Linked DNA regions of Coturnix japonica. The protein of the gene in region 1 binds, or shares a complex with, the protein of each later gene. Links are inferred from orthologs where the notes say so. Each region holds a gene or a part of one and is shown on either strand. Other genes may lie near its edges.

Region 1 (3,510 bases):
CGACAGGGAAGGCTACAGCCTTAAAGGGCTCCGGAAGGAGATGTGAGGGAACCGCACTTTATTATGATCCACAAGCACTAATGCAGATGACACGGGTAACACTGCACACCCATTCTTTGAGCTTAGTTTCCCACTCATATAACGCATTTGAGTTGCTGATGAAAACGTTTATTCACTTTATAAAAAACAAAAAGTCCAAGTTTGAACGTTACAAGCTTTTTGTATGTGTCCTACGTATCTACAGGTCAGCAGTACACGGGGCTGAGGGCGTCGTACAGCCTCTGTGCAGCCAGTTCCACCATCTCTCGCAGGGATTCATCGTCCTCACTGCCTGGCTCGCAGTCAGCCGTCTGAGAGCACAAAATAAGCATGTGAGAACAAGCACAGCACACACAGGTAAATAACTCCCAGTGCTTCATGTACGTACCCGAGTTTCCAGTGAGAGGTTTGCAGTTTTGCCATCTACGGTGACACACAGAATGGAGCCTTCCTTGGAACTCACACAGTCCTCTCCAAACATATCCCTGGAACAAAGGTTGGCTCACATCAGGTAACTGCCAAACAGCAAACACATTTCCTCTCCATTAACCTTAGGCTTCCAAAGGCCCTGGATTTGAAGTCTCAATGACACCGAGAGCTTTTTCAGGGTACCTCAATCTTTACTTAACTCCAGGCCTACACAGAAGCGTCAATACATTAACTCTACCTTTAAGTGGTACTGTAATAAAACTACTCTATATACACAAATAATGGTGATCGCTTTCATTTAGAAAAAGATCCACTGACTTACTGAAGCATCATTTCCACTCTCTTGCGATACTCTTCCGTGTCTACTTTTGTGGAAACTTTCTGCACTGCAGCTGGAAAGAAAAAGTCATTTTACTTTCATCTACTTCAAAGTGGGAGAAATCCCCGCGACTCGTTTCTAATCCCTCTGTTTTCTTTAGCTGTAGTGAAGTACATCACACAGTGTGGGAGAGGACAGAGAACAGCATAAAACTGAACACCAAACGCCAACTAGAAACTGATAGATAAGACATGTGCACATGCTGCAAATAATGCAAAGCTGTACATGTAATTCTGTGTTTAAGGAACATAAAACTCTTGAGAAGTTCCCTGAGGTGAAGCACAGCAGCAGGAAATCCATTTTAAGGCGTTCTAAAACTCCTGAAGCCTGATGTCCAAAATTCAGCAGTAAACCTCCATTGAAGAAGCATGTGCTACCTACCTTTCTGTATCTTGGGATTCGACTGAACTTCCAGTATCACTGTGGTCACGGTGTCTGCATACATGTCATTGGCAGGATTGGCCACCCACTGGAAGATGGACAAAACAGAAATCAAATCCCAGATTTCAGCCTGTTGTTGGGGCTGAATAAATAACACAACATAAAACAGCACTCATGGCCCTCTTGGAGTGTCACTGTACTCACTGTAGCCACTGAGTCACTGCAAGAGAAGAAACTGGCTGAGTGAAATAACATGCATCAACACAGCAGCATGGCCAAAGGCAACTTCTCCTCTTCACTCTGCTCATGATCCATCAGAAAGCTACTTAAAACAGTTCACTGTGCTCAGCATCTACATGATACTATTCTACAGGATCTGGAGAATGAAAATAGTTGTTTCCCCCCACCCAGTGCCTACCTCGAGGACTACCATGCCTGGTTCCTGGATTACAGTAATACTTTTGAAGACCTTCAGGGCTGGTTTCTGTTGGATTTCTATTTCCTCTACATCACCTAAGAAGCAGCGACAAATGGTTAGTGAGAATAAAATGACACTGAGAACAGGACTAACTGTATCTGCGTGGCTTTCTGAGTGTGCAGTATTGGCCATTGCACTTGCTTTGGATTCTCATAGCTCGTGGGGAGGAACAGAACATGTCGTCTGACACAAGGAAAGAATTCTTTTGTCTTAGTTTTATTAAATAGATGCCATTAAGCGTTCTGCTTTGGGGCTGGAGATAAAGGCTGATCACTTGCTAAATTTTCCATCGGGGTGGCTGAGCTGCTCACTTTGGGGCTGACAGGAGACAAAAAGCAGCTGAGGTTCAACATTGCTGTATGCTCATGGATTTGTATTACAGTTATATTAGGATGCCCACACAGGGTTTGTCACACTCGTGAGATGGATGTGGCAGAAGCTGCACTACATAACGAGAGCTGTAAGACACAAACCAAACTGTGGCACTGCAGAGCAAAGAAGTTCCCACTCAGAAGGTCCCTCCAAAGACTGTAAGTTGATTTAAGAACAAATCACAAACATTTCTTTCTGAATACACACCCGTAAGCTTCTGCAGCTGATAAAAGAGCAGATTGAAAGGGCCGGTATATGGAATGGCCAGTGTCTGTGTCACAGTGCTCATAGCCAAGTCCGTATAATCTGAAAGAATTGTTAAAAGAATGTCTTAACAACAGTTTACTTTAAAAGCTTTAAGTTTGCTTTCTAAAACAATCAGGTTGTCAGCACAGAGAAACAACGGCACCAAAACAATGAAGGCAGAGGGTGCAAAAGGACCGATTGTGAAGAATGGAAATCCTTGATTCTCACACCAACAGCCCAGAAATGTAGGCAAAACTACGCCAAACTGACACCAATGGACACGCGTCCAATGATTTCCTCCAACACAAAGTAACAAACAAGCATCCAAAAGCCAACACTGCACATAATGACAGAGAAGGACACAGAGAGTTTCAATGATCCACTAAGTAAGTTACCGCCTTCACTTACTGGAGAGGTCACACGGAGAAAGGATGTGATAGTTAAAATTCCTTTTGACCAGGATTCCAGAAATTCTCTGTCCTTGCTCCGGCTTCTTATCTGCTAAAGAGCCCATCACCTGAAAAGGAGGAGAACACAGCTAATGTAACATTATTTTTAAGCTGTTTTTTGAAATCATTTTACTAGATGCACCGCATTCATGCCTACAGACCTCCCTCTGCTAGAGCACCCTGTTTACAAGCTGTCTCACTGATTGAAGTATCTAAAGACAGCAGCTCTAAACGCCTGATTACAGTCAAGCATGTAATTATTTAATTCAGCCAAAGTAATTATTCTCCTCTAGTATATACGGATGGATTGCGTGTTTGACAGCATCTTCCTGAAATGTAAATGAAGCCTATCATATTATTTATGCACAAAGCGCAGTGCTCCAACATGACTGGAATTGATATTCTTTGTTAGGAGAAAATTGATGAGCGCTGTTCAGATCACACAGCAAACAGACTGGGATGACTGGACTGAAAACACCAGCAGGTTATGGGTAGCAGAATAGATCTACGTTAGCTAAACAAAAACATTCATATATGTTGTGACCTTGTAAAACACATGCAATCCAAACCCAATTTACCTTAGAGGCTTGGAAGAGAACATACAACTTAGTTTCATAGGATTAAAAACAAGTGTCATTGTATGGAGATGAAAATACTTGATTTCATACCTTGGCAAGCTTTTCTCCTCTGAAGTTTAACGTCACAGCTTCAGTATTCCTCGGATTATGAACTTCTAT
Region 2 (4,208 bases), on another chromosome or scaffold:
TTGATTTCTTCTGGCTTTACTCGCTCTTCCTTCAGCATCTGCACCTCAAACAGCTCCAGGGCCTCTGCCAGCTACAGAGAAAAGGAAAATGTTTTATGAAGCAACAATTCAGTTACAATGAATAGCCTTAGCTGTAGTCAGAAATCCTACAGAGCACAGAATTCCTCATAAATTCTTGTTTTCCTTCTTTTAATAATGATGATAATGAGTTGGAAAAGACCTCTAAGATCATCAAGTCTGATCTGTCAGTCCTTCAGTGCCACATTTCCACAGTTCTCAAACACCTCCAAGGATGGCGACTCCACCACCTTCCTGGGCAGTCTGTTCCAACACATTACCACTCGTTCCAAGTATGTTTCCTAGTATCCAACCTGAACCTCCCCGGCACAACTTGAGGCCATCACCTCACATCCTATCACTGCTACCTGGATCAGAGGCCAACTCCCACCACACCACAACTTCTTTTCAGAGAGCAGGAAGCAATGAGGTCTCCTCAGACCTTGAACTGCTTCCCATAAGACTTATGCTCATGGTTTTATTGCCATTCTCTGGACACACTCCTGGGCCTCCACATCTTTTTAGTAGCGAATGGTCCAAAACTGAACAACAAGTACTTGAGGCATGGCTTCAAAAGTGCTGAGTGCAGACAGACAGCTATAACAGGAGGCAGGAGTAGCAACTTTAAAGGCAACTTTAACCTCAGTTAAAGGCCAAAGGGACCTGATGATCACTTCAAGCCCCTCCCAAGCGAACCATTCTAATCCTAACAGCAAAGTGCTCGTTCACAAGCACCAAACGTTACTATAACCCCCAAATCCCACCTTGTCCTCCTTGATGAGGGCCTTGCACCTTAGGAAATACCAGTACGGCGTGTTCCTGCGGCCGTACCACAGCCTCCTCTCCCCTTCTTCCTCCCCATCCTCTTCAAGCTTCAAGTTCCGAAACACCGCCGTGGTTTTGTGGTAATATTTCCTATGGGAGAACTTAGCAGACAGCGTCCCGAACTCCACACCTTCATCATCATCATCATCATCATCATCACCAGCTTCGCCTTCAGCACCGCGCACCTCAGGGGGCGGCTGCGACGAGCTCAGCGCCCTCAGGCCACGCAGTGAAGGGAAGCTGGGCCTGAGGTACCGGAACAAGGCGGAGGGAAGCGGAGCAGCGGCCCGGCAGCACCGCCAAGGGACGGGCTGGAGGCTGAGGAGGAGCCGTGCAGGCCGCATCGCGAAGCGCGGCGCACACACCGCCCCGCCCCCTCGCGGCCACCGTAGCGCCACGGCGCATGCGCGGCAGGAAGAGGCGTGTTCAAAGCGGCGGCCGGAGCCGGAGGTGTTTTCCCGGCATCCTCCGGGACGGGCGGGCGGCGCGGCGCGGGTCGCGCGCGGCCCCATTGAGTGTTGAGGCGCTGCCGAAGAGAAGCAGGCTGGGTCGGGCCAGGCCGGGCCGGGCCTGGCCACAGCCGGCCCCAACCATTCCACCCCTTCCCACCCGGTGCCGTCGCCCCCCGGCTGCAACCATGCAGGAGCTCATCGCCAGCGTGGACCACATCAAGTTCGACCTGGAGCTGGCGGTGGAGCAGCAGCTGGGGGCGCAGCCGCTGCCCTTTCCCGGCATGGACAGTGCGTGTGGGCGCCGGGCGCGGCATAACCTCTATCCCTGAGCCGGGGTGGTGGGACAAGGATGGAGCCTAGAGAAGGGATCAGCCTAGAGAGAAGGTTGTGGGGTGACCTCAGTGCAGCCCTTCAGTACCTGAAGGGAACTTAGTGCCAGGAGGGGAGTAAACTCTTGGAAAGGGCTGACAATAGCAGGACACGGGGAAATGGTTTTAAGTTAAAAGAGGGAAGATTTAGGTTGGATGTTACGGGGAAGTTCTTCACTAGGAGAGTGGTTAGGCCCTGGAACAGGCTGCCCAGGGAGGTTGTGGATGCCCCGTCCTTGGAGGTGTTCAAGGCCAGGTTGGACGGGGCCCTGGGCAACCTGATGTAGTAAAGGTGTATGTTTGGTGGCCCTGCCAGGCAGGGGGGTTGGAACTACATGATCCTTGAGGTCCCTTCCAACCCGGGTCATTCTGTGATTCTGTGGTGGTGGGGATGGGGCTGTTCCGTGCCCTGTGCTGGGCTCCTCGTGTCCCCTCAGCTCCTGCTGCCCTGAGGTGCTGCCTTGGGCCGGGTGCTGTGTGTCTGTAGCCGTAGTTTGTGCCGTGCTGGGATGGAAGGAAAGTTGAGGCGTTCATGTGAATAAACACTGCTGTCCCACGCTGTTGTTTGATTGCCCTTTTGATAGGTGAGGTGTTTTGGTGGCAGGGAAGGTGTAGGTGTGTTCACAGTCTGGGATCTGAGCACTTTCCTGCATTAGTCTGGAGATGGGGGAGTCAGGGGAGGCCACATCATTCCCTACAACTCCAGAAGGACATGGTCAATGTGGTGAGAATGGGCTGGTTGGACTTGGTCATCATAGGGGTCTTCAACCTGTCCACTGATGCAAGTAGTCCTGGGAGACTCAACAGTTTGCTGACGTTCTGTGTCAGTGCTGCTGACCTCACATTGCTCCCTTGAGTGCTGTGATTCCTGTAGGTCAGTGAGGGATAACGCAGCAACAACTGGGTCAGGCTGATCTGCAGAAAAGACTTTGAGAGCCAGGGCTATAAACATGTTTCACTACAGCAAGTGGTTTAATAGTCATTGCCCAACCTGAAGTCTGAAAGGCTATAAACAGAACTGCAAATTTCCCTGCTGTGTATTCATTGAGGAGAATACAGACATTTGTGAAGGCCAGAACTGAACAAAGAATTCATGCAGGGATGTAAATTCCTCAAACCAAAATGCTGTTTCTCTTTTGAATTTGAGGACTCAGTCGTTTCTTCAGGCAGAAAATACTTTGGAAGCTCCTACTAAAGTTTGTTAACGTTTATTTTGTTTCTTCTTTCCACAGAATCAGGTGCAGCTGTCTGTGAATTCTTTTTAAAAGCAGCATGCGGGAAAGGCAAGTTGTATTTCCAGTACACTTACACTCGTATTGCAGGGAGGAGAAATAGATTTGCTGGCACGTTCTATGTTAATCATGGCTTTTGTTAACTCCACAAATTGTGTGGGGTTTGCTGTGGATGTGGCTGTTTTAGTGTCTATGGGTTGCGGCTGCTGGGATTTAGACATGGAGACTACAGTGCTCAGCTCATTAGAGGGTAAAACAGGACTTGTCTGGATGTCCTTGTTTATCGTTACCATTAAGAACTGAAGTCATAAGGAAAAACTGAGTTCTTCTGAAACCTCTCTTGTAGAGGCGAGTGAAGCGCTGCTGTTGCTGTGTTCCTGCTTGTACTGCAGAGTTTAATTGTTCCTCTTTTTCATTTCCCTTGCCTCATCCTTGTGCAGGAGGTATGTGCCCATTCAGACACATCAGTGGGGAAAAGACTGTCGTTTGCAAACACTGGCTACGAGGACTATGCAAAAAGGGAGACCAGTGTGAGTTTCTGCACGAGTATGACATGACCAAGATGCCTGAGTGTTACTTCTACTCCAAATTCGGTAAGAAACATTGTAGCTCCTACGTAGTGTTCCTTGCAAGCGTGGGAGTCTGGTGAAGAAGATCCTGGTACATCCTTCTTATTCCATCCTCAGAATATTTCAGTTCTTCCATGTCTGCTGACACTGTTCCATTGTAGTTTTTCAGGTCTGCTTAGCTCTTTTATCTTTTTATTCCCCTAAATTCGCCATGTGTTGTAGATGTTTCCTCTCTCAAGAGCTTGTCATGTTGGGGAAGAGGGAGGAAGTTCACATTGTTACTGGGTTTTGTGCTTTATGTTCTCTTTTTTAGTATGAGTTGAGTAGGCTGAGCAGTTGGTCTTTGCATGACTCTTGTTTTGGGGAGTTGATGAGCAGCAGAGGGCATGGGGGTGCAAAACTTTTATGCACTTGCTTTCCAGCTCTGGAGATCTGGACATAATGAGGCAACTTGCTGTCAGAAACTTACAGTCTTGTAGGTTTCCTTGGATTGAGGTTAGTGTGCAATTTGTAGTTTCTCCACACTTTTGGTGCACTAAATGTTTGGTTTTTGTTATCATGACTCTCTTCCAAAAATCAGTTTCTGCATTGTTTTTAAAAGCACACATAAATAATCCAGTCTGGTAGAAGTTCACTCACTAGGGGTGAGTGCTTGGTGTTCATCCTCTAGGTTAAGTCAGGCAATAAGACCGTTGTGCCTGAACT

Evidence for each region. The genes of interacting proteins can lie anywhere in the genome.
Region 2: CPSF3 (region 1) and CPSF4 share a complex: the UniProt entries of both Homo sapiens proteins name them as parts of the cleavage and polyadenylation specificity factor (CPSF) complex. The link is inferred for Coturnix japonica from reciprocal best matches to the Homo sapiens genes CPSF3 and CPSF4.

What each region holds. Positions count from the first base shown.
Region 1 is NC_029518.1:87,816,016-87,819,525, reverse strand, and holds the end of CPSF3 (cleavage and polyadenylation specificity factor subunit 3), read right to left. Parts: coding exon 3,442-3,510; intron 2,842-3,441; coding exon 2,733-2,841; intron 2,385-2,732; coding exon 2,286-2,384; intron 1,742-2,285; coding exon 1,647-1,741; intron 1,317-1,646; coding exon 1,229-1,316; intron 861-1,228; coding exon 791-860; intron 525-790; coding exon 428-524; intron 351-427; coding exon 246-350; 3' UTR 147-245; downstream 1-146. UniProt on the Homo sapiens protein: Component of the cleavage and polyadenylation specificity factor (CPSF) complex that plays a key role in pre-mRNA 3'-end formation, recognizing the AAUAAA signal sequence and interacting with poly(A) polymerase and other factors to bring about cleavage and poly(A) addition.
Region 2 is NC_029529.1:4,430,392-4,434,599, forward strand, and holds the start of CPSF4 (cleavage and polyadenylation specificity factor subunit 4), read left to right. Parts: upstream 1-1,408; 5' UTR 1,409-1,519; coding exon 1,520-1,622; intron 1,623-2,934; coding exon 2,935-2,985; intron 2,986-3,374; coding exon 3,375-3,527; intron 3,528-4,208. Other genes in the region: pentatricopeptide repeat-containing protein 1, mitochondrial, read right to left, coding at 1-71, 822-1,408. UniProt on the Homo sapiens protein: Component of the cleavage and polyadenylation specificity factor (CPSF) complex that play a key role in pre-mRNA 3'-end formation, recognizing the AAUAAA signal sequence and interacting with poly(A) polymerase and other factors to bring about cleavage and poly(A) addition.